Linked DNA regions of Schizosaccharomyces pombe. The main gene of each other region encodes a partner of the protein of the gene in region 2 in a complex. Each region holds a gene or a part of one and is shown on either strand. Other genes may lie near its edges. The genes, in order: tfb2, tfb5, ssl1 and rad15.

Region 1 (4,087 bases), 940 kb from region 2:
GATCACACTTTGCGTGCAGTAAAATTGATGAACCTAAAGTACCACCACTTTGTAAAAAAGTTTGATTCATATCTATTGACACGCCAGAAATAAAAAGCCCTCGACTGGCCAATGCTAAACTTCCTCCCAAATCAGTGAGTGCTGCAATACAACCGCCATGCAAATTACCCATACGATTTAGGTGATGCTTCTGCAGTTTCAGAGAGCATTCTACAAATCCTGGAACTGCACTTATAATTTGTATATCACTGACTACATGAGCATCAAACCCATTGGTATTTACAAAATCCTGCCAAACAGAACGAACGAAAGAAAGCACCTTAGTACCAGAGCTATTAATTGCCATTGTGTCTTAAAACTTCGTTTAACAGGTATCAATCACTGTAAAAGTAAGTACCTCAGGTGAATTGGTTATGTTGTGGCAGTTCTTGGCTACTCGCAGCAGCGATACTTGTAGTTAGTAAGGATTTACAAGCCATTTGCCTGCCTATAGTAATATCACCAAATCATTATTACAAATGGTAATATAATTAAATGAACATTAAATACAAGAATATGAATATTGTTTGGATTATTCAAATAACGGATATTTTTTTTTTCTAATGACGAGAAGAAGAAATTCATAATTTGAACGTTAAAGAGTTGCATCATTAAAACTTGAATTTCGTATAAATATCCAACACGCGTATAGTTAACATGGCTAATGTTGAGCTTATGTTATATATATGTTTATTGACACCAGTAAATTACTTACAAGTGATTTGAGATTAATTTAATATTTTCTAATTACCACTTCTCTTTTGAACCATCCAAAAAATATTCATTTGACAGCTCGTCTTTTCAAGTATGCGATCATGGGCTGGGCGCCTGTCGTAGTTATGAAAAACATTCTTTTCAAGGAACTGTCCCAAACCAAAACCCCGAGTTCTTTTGCGTACTCTACTGCTTGGTCGAAGCCAGAATCAGTAAGAAAATCGCGAAACAAAATTCCAGGAGTAGCCCGAAGTCTATTTTTTTCCAATTCCCATAAATAAATTTGATCTACTAATGTAGGAGGTAAAAGAGGAACATTCGATCTCATCTGAGGGTGAGCATGAGTTGTCAAGTATGTAATAATTTGCTCCGCTGCAATTCCATTCATCAAAGCACGACGAATACTATCCCGAGTTATCACACCGACAACAAGATTTGAAAAACGCGCCCTTAAGTTAGCAAACAATCCGATGATGGCAATCTGTAATGGGGAGCTTGTGTAAGCATATAATCGGTAATTTGTTTCTACAATAATAAAACCTTTATCATCATCATTTTCACTTTGCTTTCCATGCAATGAGCGATAATCAGTTGTCAGACCTGTTGCCAGTCTGGTTGGATAGAAACGCTTGGAAGTAATTTTTCTTTGATAAACTAATCCATATTCTCTTAGGTCTTCAAGCATGATTTGTTGTGTATCTGTTAAGAAGTCCACTGAGTATGCCCTCCCCAAATCCAAACTTCCAAGCATAAATAAAAAGTGCAAAACCTGAACAGGATCCATATGCGTGTCTTCAGATAGTTTTAAATAATCCAAAAGTAACGTCCAAATTTGAGCATTTATATCCTGTAACAGAAACTGAAAACCGGCACGGGTAATACGTAGCTGGTTTTTTGGACCAGACATTAAACCGCCCCGCTTTAATAGACTTAAGACACCTTCTCCAGGAAATTTAGCTTCCGGAGTTCCTACCATGAAGTGCAAGATTGTTTCCCAAGTTTCTTTCGCATATGCGTCAAGAAAATCAACCGTCACCAAGTGCTTGTCTTCATCGGTACATGGCACGCCAAACGAATTGTGATTTCCTCTAAAAAGCTTAATTAGTTTATACTCAAAATTCAATAAAACTTACCCTCCAGTCAGAGCAGTTATAAATTGTTTGCGAAATTCACTATTTAGAGTGATATATTGTCCATCAAATTGAAATATATGCATCCTAACCAGTTTGTTGAAGGATTCAGATTGATAAACTTTACTCGAAAGTTTGATCCATAAATCGAAATCTGAGAGTGCTACTGGCATAGGATTGAAAAGCATAGACATGACATACTGTCTAGCTAGAATTGGCAATAAACGAAACACAGCAAGACAAGCAGCTGGCTTTTGGTAAAGCCTTGCATGATTTGGTAACTGTTCCAGGAAGTCGTTGATACTAGACTTGAATTCTGCTTGCATGGTGACAATTTGCGAACCTACTTCAAAAGGTTTAAATTGGCGGTTGTAATCTCTCTTTATTCAGCTGAATAGAACAAAATCCAGTGTACTCAACTAATAAACTTATTTACGATTATCAATCTTCCATAAATGCCAGATAAGCAATCATCGCGAGACCGAAGGTGGATGGTGATCAAGAGCGAGTCGAATTACTGGTATTAAATAGGCTAGAATAACAAGCCAAAGCTTCCGACAATGACAATAACAATTTTTTTTTGCTGATAATTACATTAACCTGTGTACATATTTATTACAATTCAAACTTTTATGCCCAAGTTGCGAATTGTCGTGATTAGATAAAAACATATAAACAATCATTCATACTTAAGTTTTAAATAAAGTCAGTTTTAAAAAAAAAAAGATTTGTTTTAAATGTTCTGAATATTTACAGTTACGTTAAATATTTACTGTACTATTACTTATTTAGACCATTAGAGATGCATGCTTGGTTGAAATAAACCGCGGGATAAATGACCCTCGAGAGAAAAATAATTTGTTTTTCAAATATCAGTGAAAAACATATAAATCCTTAATCATCTAATTAACTTCTTCCGTATCAGCTGAATAAATTGTGCGTAATTAAACTCTTTCATTTATGCAGCAAAAAAATTTTGTTATTTGGACTGGAATTATACATCAAGACCTTAAAGCACGTAAACGTTCTTGTAAGTTGTCATCTTCTACAGGAGCGGCGGGAGTAGGAACACTGGCAGCAGGAACCGAAAGATTATTGTTCATATTCTGGTTAAATTCCAAACCAGCTTCATCAGCTACCGTTTGCATTAATAAATCTACATCTTCTTGGGGTGTATCGACAGCAGTCACTGATCCCATAGCCTTATATAGTGTTAGTTCTAGTCTTGAAATATGATTAATCAAGGAAACTTACCTTATTCATATAACCCGTTTGAACATTAACATCATCGAATTGCGCTTCAAATTTATCCATGACTTGTGAAATCTGTGGGTCAGAAACATTTGAAAAAAAACTCATTCTACGAGAATTAGGAACTCACCATCTCCAAATTCATTGTTTTCATAGCTCTGTCCATTCCCCGAACGACACCTGCCATATTTCCCGACACCTAAATAGTCAATAAGTATGCCACGTTAAATTGCTAACATACAGCACGCATAGTTACAGCAGTCTGTAAACGACTTGAAACCGCATCTATTCTTGAAGAAAGTTTGAGCAAATTAAGGGATTCTTGCTGCTTCCGAATTGCATTCGATGCATATATGCGGGCAATTTCTGAGTTGCCTTTTGTGATAGCCTAGGTAATAACAGTTAGTAATGAATAACGCCAAAAAGTAAAAAAAAATTTTTATCTAGCAAATCATATGAAGATGGAATAATCGACAAAACCAAGACTCTGCAAAACCACCAAGAATTACAATAGCAATTGATAGATGAGCTGTAAAAAAATTCATTGATAGTGACATGCTTGGAAATAGCAATCATTACAACAAACAAACCTTTTTCACTTTTTCCCGTTCAGCACGCTCCTCTTTCGCAGCTTTAAGTGATTGTTTATTCAGCGACTTTGCAGCAAACTAACGCATTGTTAAAAACAAACTTCAATTAAGAAAATACCTTTAATTGAAACAGAGATGCTTTCAGGTTAATCAATTATCAAAAAAATTACTTACTTACCCTCTAAATTGCTCATTTTGTTTGTAAAGGTAAGCTAGCTGTATAATGCTAATTCTATTGATTGAGCGTCTGCTAGTAAGGCTGATGATTTTTAGAACTTCTTAATACATTACTCGTAATGCATTTTAACAAAATTAAACAACTTCACTAAGGAAGATAGTGGGGTCTAAAATTGACAGTATCTT
Region 2 (3,117 bases):
ACTCAAGAGACTGCCTCTGCTCACTTGAAGGGTGGTGCCAAGCGTGTCATCATCTCTGCTCCTTCCAAGGACGCCCCCATGTACGTTGTCGGTGTCAACGAGGAGAAGTTCAACCCCTCTGAGAAGGTTATCTCCAACGCTTCTTGCACCACCAACTGTTTGGCTCCCCTTGCCAAGGTCATCAACGACACCTTCGGTATCGAGGAGGGTCTCATGACCACTGTCCACGCTACCACTGCCACCCAAAAGACCGTTGACGGTCCCTCCAAGAAGGACTGGCGTGGTGGTCGTGGCGCCAGCGCCAACATCATCCCCTCCTCCACTGGTGCCGCCAAGGCCGTCGGTAAGGTTATTCCCGCTCTTAACGGTAAGCTTACCGGTATGGCTTTCCGTGTCCCTACCCCCGATGTTTCCGTTGTTGACTTGACCGTCAAGTTGGCCAAGCCTACCAACTACGAGGACATCAAGGCCGCCATCAAGGCTGCCTCTGAGGGCCCCATGAAGGGTGTGTTGGGTTACACCGAGGACGCTGTTGTCTCCACTGACTTCTGCGGTGACAACCACTCCTCCATCTTCGATGCCTCTGCCGGTATCCAACTTTCTCCTCAATTCGTCAAGCTCGTCTCTTGGTACGATAACGAATGGGGTTACTCCCGCCGTGTCGTTGACTTGGTTGCCTACACTGCCGCCAAGGACAACTAACTAGCTAATCATCCCGATGCTAAGAAACGTCGGGTGGGTGCTTAAAGGCAATGCAGGAAAGTCTTTTGGAGTTGTTTTCCCCGTTTTTTCTTTATGTTAGACAAAGGAGTCGTTGTCGTTTGCAGTGCGGGAGTTTTCTTTTTTAGATTTTCGCATTTTTTTTGTGGACGCGCACTCTATGTGAATAAATAGATGGATGACTTTTTTACAAATTTCCTCTGTTCTTTGATACCCTCCTTCTCATTCATTGTTGCATATATTTTTTTTAATTTTGTTGCAGTGATGAGATGGCTGAGCGTTTGTTTTTGAACTTATAAATACTTATAAATAAATTTTATGATTTTGATAAATACTTTTTTTCGTTTTGGTTTGTGATACGTATAGTTTGCCTGTCTCCTTTTGTAAATGATCTTCTTTTGTAGTCTTGTGTAATCTCTTTTTCATTTGGTCAACTTAAGTGAATTTTTTTTTGTCAGTTTCCTTGTAGGATATTATGTCAAAGTCTTATTTATACTATATATTATTGCTTTGGTGGTGAGTCGCATTTGTGGGGACGGTGTTACTTTACTGATGGATTTAGGTAGGAGGCATCCACTGTCCCCCATTTCGCTAGCTTAAGTTTAATATGAAGATGCACTTAAGCATGAACGCCCGTTTTGATCTTTTTCACTTGTACCGCGAAGAGCTTGTTTTACTGTTTTTCCGTCTGCATCCCGAGAACTAGTTGATCTCCCAATGCACACTTTAGACTTTATTCAAACCGAAGTCGGTTTTGTAATTTAAAAATTTTTACCCACTGTAAAGTACAAACAATTCATCGCTATGTTAGTTGTGTACGCTACTAGCGCATCACATGATTACATGTTAATCAACAAAAACGAAAATGTTTATTGTCAATCTAAAAATACATATGTCCGTTAAGACAAAAGTATGAGGCTGGATGGAATGAGCAATGGTAGCAAAAGGTTTCCGAAATGGTCATATCATTTTTTCAATTTTTGCTGATCTCAAATACCTCAACTTGTTTTATTCATATAAATAATTTGTTTTTGCATATAATCATAATAATCAAATTCATTACCATCTTTAACACAACAAACTTGCATGATATTTATTCTTGTTTGCTCTTACATTCGGCATCCAACGATCATGGGTAACTTGATACCTGTGGCTTAAGGAGCTTGTAGCATGCCATGATTCTGCTGGCAGACACCAAATTTGAGGCAATGCCACGCGCACAAAAAGGCTTACTCTTGGTTGAATGTGACCCAACCGTTAAGCAATTGATTTTGAACATGGACGAACAGTCTCCTGGTATCGTTATCGAAGAGATCGATGAAGAACGATTGTTAGTAAATGAAAGTCGACTAGAACAGGTGAAAGCAGAGTTAGAACGACGCCTTGAGGAAAATACATATCAAGTTGAAGAGTAAGAAGAGATTAGTATGACGAAAGTTTTCTTTGGATGATGAACTGAATGTTTCAGTCGATGGACGAACCTAATATTGTACGATTAATGGATCATTCAATGTCAACGATCTATGATCATTTTCTCAATTTTAAATTGTAAAAAAATTTTAAAATAATGCAAAAAAGAAATTAATTCTACCTTTTATTTGGATATGGGTGAAAAGGTTGGTTTATTTTTTAATGACTTGACGTTTGTGTCAAATTACATAACAGTACCCAAAACTCGTGTACCGATGGGCAAAAATTATGAAAGGAGCCAGCTGATTTTGTATTTTTTGAAAATAAGTTTTGAATATATTGTTAACTACGCCGAGCTATTCAGTAGTTGCTTGCAAGTCTTTATTTAATTTTTAGTATTGAATGAAAGTTTATACTATTTGAATATACTATACTATCTATATAATTAATATGTATAATAAGAGAAATGTTCTTCTTTGTCTAACGATATTTTTATGCATTCCTAATTGAAACTTGGTGGTGTTTCTAGAAAGATAGTTCAGTTCATACGCGTGATAACTTTTTCAACACCGGGAACTGGAAGAACATACAACAAGGAAAAGGCATAGTTTCATGCTTGTCCTATAAACAAATGAACAAGGAAAAAGATCAATAAAGATCAATTTTGCATATTCTAAACCATAGTGCTGGGAGGTGTTTCGGTCGTGATACCTGTTCCACCAAGCGTGGAACTTGAAGTAAAAGCCTGACCTTTAATACCGGCAAAGGTGTAACATAAACCAGTAAGAGCGAGCACAATGCCGGTGGCAATAAGACTAGTAGCCATAAAGATGCAACTGAGAAAGGTTACCACGGAAAATATAAAATAGACAAGCTAAAAGAGTTAATAAACACTGTATGTAAAAGACAGCAGGAAGGCAACAAAGGAATTAAAAATATCCAGAGGCATGCTTTTTCCCCTGTGTGCCTTTCTTAAAAGAAACTATA
Region 3 (4,024 bases), on a different chromosome or scaffold from region 2:
GACTTACACAAGCTAGATATGCGATATTTCATATCTTCCTTCCTTTCATTCTTACTTTATTGCTTTATCATAATTTTTATAATTATTTCGATCAGGCATTGGCGGATCTTAATTCTGTGGTTAAATATGTTATTGAAACTATAGTGTTAATATTTACATACGTGATGACAGTGATTATTGTTTATTGTAAGTTTTTGAGATGATTTGAATTCATGACTAACGATTTTCTAGTTTCATTTTCGTTAATTAAATTAGCGTTTGAAGAAGCTTATGTTTATGCACCGTCTGTAGCTAAAGCGAATGAAGGTCTAGCTAAAGCGATTGCAGGCCTAGCTAAATATGTAGCTAAAGCAATTCAAGGTTTGGCTCATATTATTTTATCCTTACTGTTGTTTATTCTCGGGCTCGAAGTAATAGAACAAGATGAAGAGACTGGCGACGTTGAAATGTCGTCTATGCGAGGCCAAGCAATTACCACAGAGCCAGCAAGTGACAATACAATGGCTGAGGAAACCGATTGCAACACTTCTAAAGATGTAGAATCGGGCAGCAACTAAAAGTCATGGCTAGAGAAAAAAATCAAGGGGCTGCCAACAGTTGCGAGGGTTTTTTTTATTTCATCACTAATTTTCTTACTTTCTTGCAAAAGTCACTTTTCTCCTTTATTTCTATTCCTTGTATTATTATCTTATATGCATCATCACTTAATCATTTTCGATGACAGTCATCACTATTTTTGTCTCTGTTATAGAGCAAACACGATGTGTATTTGTGGTGCTAGGAAAATTCATTTAACTAATGAATCTGTTGTCAATTATAGATTAATCATCCTCTTTATTGTTTTACCAAATTGATATACAATCCTTAATTGTGACTTTGTAAGATTTGCGACTTAAAAAATTGTTCAATTAAGACATTACTCAAAAGATGCAAAGTAGTGATTTAACCTTTTTTTTTGTTGGATATATACGAAATAAGGATTCCATTCATCATTCTCAAGTTTTGGAGTTTTAAAAACCAGTATATACAGCAAATATAAGTTGAAATTTGTTTCTAAGACAAATAAAAACGAAAAAATCGACCTTGGAGTAGAACGAGAACTTCTTAAACAATGCGATTTCGCAATTCCTAGTCAGTAGCCAATTTCTGTTCGAGAAAATCAATTAAATGAACTCTTTCGTCCTGCAAACCATCCAACATTCAGCCTAAGCGAAAAGTAATTATTCTTCTTATGTCCATATCACTTGTAGCTTTACATAAAATATTGGCAATTACGCAGTTTGCAAATTTCTAAGTCTCTACTATATTGCAATATGCAGTTTGTACAAATAACCGAGCCATAAATAATTTTATAAAATACGATATATAACTCATCCTTAAAGAATGAGGAGTACAGATTTATTTTATATTCTTCTTTTACTTTCATAATTTCCTAAGTTTTTTCAAATAACAGAAATAGTTGTATACAAATTTCATATCACAAATCAAAGACTGATAAACACGAATTAACGCAGCATAACGAAATTCATTATTATATTTAACAAATAATGGTTGCGCTCCTTGTCCGTATTGTCTTCGTGTAAATGGTCTCTTGTTCTAGTACTTACTTAGTCTTACCATTTTACTGGTATGCCCAGGAGTCATTGCTTTTTAAAAAAATAAAACTAAAAATAATAAAAGAAAGAACTTTCGCTCATTGCATGTAAAGCAACTCGACGCGACTATTCAAATTACCAAAAGTTCACTGGGTAAAACGTGACTTGAAGAAATACATTCGCTTTGAGTTCTTTAGTCTGTAGAAACCAAGGAATAGAATTTGTGCAATATTCATTTATCTAATTATCAAATAGCGTTCTGGCATAATACCTATGCTCGGTTAAAATAACACTCAATGAATGAGAACCAAAAAAGTTTTGACTCTGACAAGTCGGAAAGCGAGGATGAACAAAAAAATGGAAGAGTTAAAGTAAGAAGCAGGAAAACTGACGATAATGAGGGTTATACTTGGGAAGGTGAATATCAGCGTTCTTGGGATATCGTACAGGAGGACGCAGAGGGTAGTTTAGTAGGCGTTATCGCTGGGCTTATTCAAAGCGGGAAACGTAAAAGGTATGGCGTATCAAAATTGGTTTTCTTATGTTCTTCATTTGTTTGTTAGTTGCCTATGTTGGGCATTTGGAAACATATTAGTCTTTTATAGCATCGATGAACGGTATACTAACTTGTCAATCTGATTTAGACTTCTTAGAGATACAACTCCGTTACAACGAGGTATTATTAGACACATGGTCTTGGTGTTAGATTTGAGCAACTCTATGGAGGAGCGTGATTTTCATCATAAGCGGTTCGACCTTCAGATAAAGTATGCTTCTGAATTTGTTCTTGAGTTTTTTGAACAAAATCCTATTTCCCAATTATCGATTATAGGCGTAATGGATGGAATCGCTCATCGGATAACTGATTTGCATGGGAATCCTCAATCGCATATTCAGAAGCTTAAATCTCTTCGAGATTGTAGTGGAAACTTCTCTCTTCAAAATGCTCTCGAAATGGCTAGAGCTTCTTTATCACACATTGCTTCCCATGGCACTAGAGAAGTCCTTATCATTTTTGGTTCCATCTTATCATCAGACCCTGGCGACATTTTCAAGACGATTGATGCTCTGGTTCATGATTCTATTCGTGTCCGTATCGTTGGTTTGGCTGCTGAAGTCGCCATTTGTAAAGAAATTTGTAATAAAACTAACTCATCTACGAAAAATGCCTACGGCGTAGTCATCAGTGAACAACATTTTCGCGAACTTCTACTCGAAAGCACAATACCTCCTGCTACTGATTCGGCTAAAACCACTGATGCTTCTTTGGTAATGATGGGATTTCCTTCTAAGGTCGTTGAGCAATTGCCAAGTCTTTGTGCTTGCCATTCAATTCCGTCTCGTGGTGGGTTTCATTGTCCTCGTTGTAAAGCAAAAGTTTGTACTTTACCGATCGAATGCCCTAGTTGTTCTCTCGTTCTAATCCTTTCAACACATCTTGCTCGATCTTATCATCATTTGTTTCCATTGAAAAACTGGAGCGAAATTCCTTGGTCCGCAAATCCAAAGTCCACTCATTGCTTTGCGTGTCAGTTACCTTTTCCGAAGCCGCCGGTTTCACCGTTTGACGAATCTACTTCATCGATGCGGTATGCATGTCCCTCGTGTAAAAATCATTTTTGTTTGGATTGCGATGTTTTTGCGCATGAACAACTTCATGAGTGTTATGGATGCCAATGCTCCGGAAATTAAAGTTTCTTTTGGTATATTAATGAACGCATTTATTTATAATAATTATTTTAAAATACTATTATGCTACTTATTCACAAATATGTAAAGAGATATATATTTCAATTTACTTATTTAAAGAGATCGTTGCTTAACTACCTTATCCGGAAGATAGTGAAAATTTGATCTATTGATGCTTCAGTAAGTGTTAGAGCTGTATCATATATAAAATAAAAACTAATTAAAATGTGGAAATGAATATATCCCTATATTTACAGATCAGAGGTCAGTATTGCAGTTGTAGTTGATTACAGAGGAAACCTGTTTTTGAGAATTCCATTTCTCGACTAAATAAGCAACCTTCTGACCGTACTTGCTTCCCCGAAGAGAAACCATGTGCTTTTTTATATGCGTAATGACAAGGTTTTTCTCAGCTGGTTGACCAAGTTGAATTATTTGCTGAATTAAATAGTTGCCATACTGATCAGATGCAATATCGATTAAAGGCTGCCTTGTTCGGTCAACTCTCGCGTTTGTAATTTGTTTTAGATATAAGGAAATGAAATTTTTTGGGCCAGACTTAATTGCTTTTTCAATGACCTTAGAGGCAAATTGGTCAATACTAAATTCCACTGCACGATTCAATAATGCATCAATGACTCTTTTCAAATCCTCTCCTTGTCCGTTTTCTACCATGTGTTGCACCACCCAGTTTCCCCATTGACCACGTGCAATACCGTCTAAATGAAAAATGATTTCCT
Region 4 (5,599 bases), on a different chromosome or scaffold from region 2:
TGTAAGCCTAGCTAAATGCTTTATCAATATAAACTCGAGGGAAATATTGGTAGCATAGTATTCCTTTAACTTTTCTTTTTTTTTAAATTAATTTTGATTTCACTTTTTAGTTAACGAAAAGAATTATTTTTTATTTAATAATGGCAAGCGGAGTTGTTTCAATCCAATATATTACATTTACCAGTAAAAAAATTCGATACTTTCCCTCCACCGTGTTAAATTGCTGCATTTTTTTGCATGTTACGGGATGTAAGGAAATAATCTCAAACCAGTCATCCTTACTTTGGTTTCCTACATTTAATGAGCCATGCCATCTATCCTCTATTTCAATACCTTCCTTCCCATTTTTTTCTGCTAAATCGATATGTTGTTTTTTAAATACTCTTTGTTATTAGTACTATATATGCACTATTGATTTTGCTAGCAATGTATTGTATTATTTGTATGTTTTGTAGAAAATAACCTACTCGCCAACCCAAAAATACCAGTTGTTTCCGACAGCGTCATTTATTCATCACACTTTTCCGAAAATCGGCTTTACAAGTCCCGAGTAAAAGTGAATCAAGAAACAGCTACCATGAATTTGATCAACGATTTTGAGTAACCACAGAAAAACTCAGTATGGCCCATTACGGTTGGAATGGGTCGTTGTTATGAATGCCATTTTCTTGTTACCGAGCGGCAAACTCCAACAGTATATTGTTTTGTAGCATCGCTAATGAATGATTCGTTAAGTTTGTTTTCGTGGAATTTCATGCTCTTCTTTTATACCCGAAAGCCGGATACTCGTCGATATACTAGATGTGTAGTGAGTTAATTAATTAGCCAGAAATTAGTGAATGGGAGAGATTTTTAAAATATCAAGATTGATCATTACTAATCATCTTTCATCTTTCACAATACTTGTCATCGATGATTGATAGAGATTGCCAAGAGACATTAGGTAAAATAAAACGTAACAGTTTTGACGATCTGCTGATTTGCTTGATGTCAACCTTGGGTATGTTTTCATTAAACATGATTGCTGATGGGTTTCATAATTCGTGAAAAATTGATAAAGCACTTTTCCTTATCATCTACACATAAGTGAACAGGCAAATCAATCCGTATTGTCTCCTCAACATACGGAATGTCATTAAAACCGGTAAACTGTACTAACCGGTGATTACGGGATAATAAAAAACCACTTCATTCATTTCAAAAACTGTTGATATAGTATTCTGTATGATTTCAAGAAGATAACTCTTCGGTGACTTGCTGTTTATTGCTCACCTGGCGATTCTAATTCCTTTTATTTTTTATCCTGATACGTATGTATTTGTTTTTCCCTCTTTAGAATAATATTCATTAAGCTTGAATAAGCGGTTATTAGTTTGCAAATGATTCAGCAGCTATATGTGAGTTTGCCCTTTTTCACTTGTCTACAGAGTCGGGAATTGACTTGTAAAACAAAATAAATGGAATATTGCAAATGTATTCTTTTTGCCTTGTGTTTATTTAGGAGTAGTATTGCGGAAACTTGTTTTCAGAAAACAAAGTAGCGCTTATGCTCGGTAACTACGAAAATACGAATTTTTTTTCCAATAAACTAGTATTTATTAAGCAATTGCATCTTCCATTAACCATGTCATTTCCATCAATGTATAGTTGTATGTACACCATGTATTTACGAATATTATCCAATTTAACGTACTTTACAGTATTTTGCTTATAAATGTTTACCGTACCAACTCAGCGTTCTTCATAATCCAGTTCTATATGCACTACAAATATAAAGCAGCCACTGTTAATTTCAGGACTCATTCTTTAAGCTTGGATCGACAAGTAGTTTCTCCTGAGATTCTCACTGTAAAGTAGCTCACTTAAACCTTAGGTCAGAATTATTTCTTGGTTCGTTTTGTTTTACCCTCTTCCATCCCATGTTTATTTATTTATCTTTGTGAACTTATTCATATTTGTGTATCAGTGATTGACGACTAAATATTGAACCAAAGCAGAACCTACCTCATTCTTATAATACCCATAAAAATTTATTTCTCGCTTTATTCATTTCATTTTTATGAAGCGATTGTTAAGCGATCTTTACCCACTATTATTCATCAATGCTAGTTCATAATTCTTTTGTTTCAACTTTTTATCTTATTATTTAATTCCTAAATTTTTTTTTGGTCCAATAGGCTGTCATATACTCAAATTAATTTCCTCAAAGTCAACGGATTACACCCATAATGAAGTTCTATATTGACGATCTACCTATTCTGTTTCCTTATCCACGCATCTATCCCGAGCAGTATCAGTATATGTGTGATTTGAAACATTCTTTGGATGCGGGAGGCATTGCGCTCTTAGAAATGCCTTCGGGTACTGGAAAGACCATTTCTCTTTTGTCCCTTATTGTTTCATATCAACAACATTATCCTGAGCATCGCAAGCTCATCTATTGTTCACGTACCATGTCGGAAATTGATAAAGCATTAGCTGAATTGAAGCGTTTAATGGCGTATCGGACTTCACAGTTAGGATATGAAGAACCATTTTTGGGTCTCGGACTAACCAGTCGCAAAAATTTATGTTTACACCCTTCTGTTCGTCGTGAAAAAAATGGGAATGTGGTAGATGCCCGTTGTCGCTCACTTACGGCGGGTTTTGTGCGGGAGCAAAGATTGGCTGGTATGGATGTTCCTACTTGTGAGTTCCACGACAATTTGGAAGATCTTGAGCCACACAGCCTTATATCTAACGGTGTTTGGACCCTTGATGATATCACAGAATACGGCGAAAAAACTACACGATGCCCCTATTTTACTGTACGTCGTATGCTACCGTTTTGTAATGTTATTATTTATTCGTATCATTATTTACTAGACCCCAAAATTGCTGAACGAGTTTCTCGAGAACTCAGTAAAGATTGCATTGTTGTTTTTGATGAAGCACACAATATTGACAATGTGTGTATTGAGTCTTTAAGTATTGATTTGACAGAATCTTCTTTGAGAAAAGCTTCGAAGAGCATTTTGTCTCTTGAGCAAAAAGTCAACGAAGTAAAACAGTCTGACTCAAAAAAACTTCAGGATGAATACCAAAAGCTTGTTCGGGGCCTTCAAGATGCTAATGCCGCAAATGACGAAGACCAGTTTATGGCGAATCCCGTTTTGCCTGAGGATGTTTTAAAGGAAGCTGTTCCTGGAAATATTCGACGAGCCGAACATTTTATTGCATTTTTGAAGCGTTTTGTAGAATATTTAAAAACAAGGATGAAAGTTTTGCACGTTATTGCTGAAACACCAACTTCTTTTTTGCAACATGTTAAAGACATTACATTTATAGACAAAAAGCCGCTTCGGTTTTGCGCTGAGCGACTCACTAGTCTTGTTCGTGCCTTACAAATTTCACTAGTTGAAGATTTTCATTCTTTGCAGCAAGTAGTAGCTTTTGCGACCCTTGTTGCTACTTATGAGCGTGGATTTATCCTAATTTTGGAACCCTTTGAAACAGAAAATGCTACAGTTCCCAATCCAATATTGCGGTTTTCCTGTCTTGACGCCTCAATAGCTATTAAACCAGTTTTCGAAAGATTTAGGTCTGTGATTATCACGAGTGGTACTTTATCCCCCCTCGATATGTACCCCAAGATGTTGCAGTTTAATACTGTTATGCAGGAATCGTATGGAATGTCACTTGCACGAAACTGTTTCCTTCCTATGGTAGTTACTCGGGGTAGCGATCAAGTAGCTATTTCTTCAAAATTTGAAGCCCGTAATGATCCTAGTGTTGTTCGCAATTACGGTAATATACTGGTTGAGTTTTCGAAAATTACACCTGATGGCTTAGTCGCATTTTTTCCAAGTTATCTCTACCTTGAAAGTATTGTTTCTAGTTGGCAAAGTATGGGTATTCTAGATGAAGTCTGGAAGTATAAGTTGATTTTGGTGGAAACACCAGATCCTCATGAAACAACTCTCGCCTTAGAGACTTACCGGGCTGCTTGCAGCAATGGCCGTGGAGCAGTATTGCTGTCAGTCGCTAGAGGAAAAGTCTCAGAAGGAGTGGATTTTGATCATCATTATGGTAGAGCAGTAATCATGTTTGGTATTCCGTATCAGTATACTGAGAGTCGTGTTTTAAAAGCACGGTTAGAATTTCTGAGGGATACGTATCAAATTCGGGAAGCAGATTTCTTAACATTTGATGCCATGCGGCATGCTGCCCAATGTTTAGGTCGCGTTTTGCGTGGAAAAGATGATCATGGAATTATGGTGTTAGCAGATAAACGATATGGTCGGTCTGATAAGCGTACAAAATTACCTAAATGGATTCAACAGTATATAACCGAAGGCGCTACAAATTTAAGCACTGATATGTCCCTCGCTTTGGCGAAAAAATTTTTACGAACTATGGCACAGCCTTTCACTGCGTCTGATCAGGAAGGGATTTCTTGGTGGAGTCTTGATGATTTGTTGATTCATCAGAAGAAAGCATTGAAGTCTGCGGCTATAGAACAATCCAAACATGAGGATGAGATGGATATTGATGTGGTTGAAACTTAATAGAAGCCATTTGTAAAATACTTTGATTCTAATCATCTTTACTAAGGCAATCCAAAACTCATGAACACAGCGATGAAGATATTTGGAAGCGAATGGCTAACTTTTTTGTAGGTGTGGACAATGTATGTATCAACTTGTATTCGAGAGTTGTATAGTGGACATTTCAATCGTCATCACGATACGCATGCTACTTACGAATTGTTTTAAGATCGCAGAGCAGAGAAAAAATATTATTTACACTCAGTTGGCAATTAATTTGCGAGTCGCTAAATTCGAAGTACTTTAAAATTTTTTTAGAGACTGTGTTCAAATAAAATCGGTTTCAGTTGTTGTAATGCTTCTTAAATTTTCCATCCCATCAATAACAATCCAGCGTTTCAAAGAGTGATTATTGGCAATTTCATGCTGCTATGGAAATTAAGCTTACATTAAGCGAGCTAGTTAAAATACGTGATGCAGTAATTGTAAGCCTAGTTATATAAACAAAACATCTGTTTATCATTTAGATACATAAAACAAAAGTTTACATATTCATAATATATTCTCATAATCTAAAAAATTTCCTTGATAGTTTTATGTCGATAAAATTAGTCTCCCATACTTAGTTCTAAATAAATGAACGTTTTGGGGTTGTACAACTGATTCATTGCTGTATTCTATGTAATATATAAATTTCTTGAAAATAAAAAATCTTTTGGTTTTACGGATTCACGGTTGGCTTATACGTAATTGCCAAGCACATATAAGATCAATGATGGTTTCTTTACCAAACTACTGTATAAAAAAATTACTCTAGCACAAAAAGGATACCGCTTTCAGGAATTCTTAAATATAGAAAAAAAAATAAGTGTAGCTTATTGCAAGGGTTGTCTCTAGTCACGTTGGGGTAGTCAGAATCCTGTCATAACTACTGCTTTGTATCTTTGATTAGCAAAGTAACTTATTGAATACAGTCAGCTGTCAAATTACAGAAAAAGAAGCAACTTTAATAGTATCTTAAATGATATAATCTTCGATACAGGTTTCTTTGAGAATTTGGCCAATAGCTAGAA

What was found.
Region 1: tfb5 (region 2) and tfb2 share a complex: the UniProt entries of both Schizosaccharomyces pombe proteins name them as parts of the 7-subunit TFIIH core complex.
Region 3: tfb5 (region 2) and ssl1 share a complex: the UniProt entries of both Schizosaccharomyces pombe proteins name them as parts of the 7-subunit TFIIH core complex.
Region 4: tfb5 (region 2) and rad15 share a complex: the UniProt entries of both Schizosaccharomyces pombe proteins name them as parts of the 7-subunit TFIIH core complex.

The regions. Positions count from the first base shown.
Region 1 is NC_003423.3:3,752,192-3,756,278, reverse strand, and holds tfb2 (transcription factor TFIIH complex subunit Tfb2), read right to left. Parts: upstream 2,380-4,087; 5' UTR 2,210-2,379; coding exon 1,887-2,209; intron 1,842-1,886; coding exon 821-1,841; 3' UTR 562-820; downstream 1-561. Other genes in the region: the13 (acyl-CoA thioesterase), read right to left, coding at 1-346; ESCRT III complex subunit Did2, read right to left, coding at 2,885-3,085, 3,138-3,209, 3,265-3,333, 3,376-3,522, 3,725-3,802, 3,843-3,862, 3,903-3,918. UniProt on the Schizosaccharomyces pombe protein: Component of the general transcription and DNA repair factor IIH (TFIIH) core complex, which is involved in general and transcription-coupled nucleotide excision repair (NER) of damaged DNA and, when complexed to TFIIK, in RNA transcription by RNA polymerase II.
Region 2 is NC_003423.3:2,807,946-2,811,062, forward strand, and holds tfb5 (transcription factor TFIIH complex subunit Tfb5), read left to right. Parts: upstream 1-1,928; coding exon 1,929-2,135; 3' UTR 2,136-2,594; downstream 2,595-3,117. Other genes in the region: glyceraldehyde-3-phosphate dehydrogenase Tdh1, read left to right, coding at 1-702; SPOM_SPBC32F12.12C (golgi membrane protein involved in vesicle-mediated transport), read right to left, coding at 2,804-3,004. UniProt on the Schizosaccharomyces pombe protein: Component of the general transcription and DNA repair factor IIH (TFIIH) core complex, which is involved in general and transcription-coupled nucleotide excision repair (NER) of damaged DNA and, when complexed to TFIIK, in RNA transcription by RNA polymerase II.
Region 3 is NC_003421.2:382,582-386,605, forward strand, and holds ssl1 (transcription factor TFIIH complex subunit Ssl1), read left to right. Parts: upstream 1-1,609; 5' UTR 1,610-1,891; coding exon 1,892-2,109; exon of another isoform or gene 2,110-2,239; coding exon 2,240-3,287; 3' UTR 3,288-3,466; downstream 3,467-4,024. Other genes in the region: SPOM_SPCC1682.06 (uncharacterized protein), read left to right, coding at 1-186, 232-557; meiotic pumilio family RNA-binding protein Mpf2, read right to left, coding at 3,543-4,024. UniProt on the Schizosaccharomyces pombe protein: Component of the general transcription and DNA repair factor IIH (TFIIH) core complex, which is involved in general and transcription-coupled nucleotide excision repair (NER) of damaged DNA and, when complexed to TFIIK, in RNA transcription by RNA polymerase II.
Region 4 is NC_003424.3:662,554-668,152, forward strand, and holds rad15 (transcription factor TFIIH complex subunit Rad15 ), read left to right. Parts: upstream 1-1,794; 5' UTR 1,795-2,228; coding exon 2,229-4,547; 3' UTR 4,548-5,094; downstream 5,095-5,599. UniProt on the Schizosaccharomyces pombe protein: ATP-dependent 5'-3' DNA helicase, component of the general transcription and DNA repair factor IIH (TFIIH) core complex, which is involved in general and transcription-coupled nucleotide excision repair (NER) of damaged DNA and, when complexed to TFIIK, in RNA transcription by RNA polymerase II.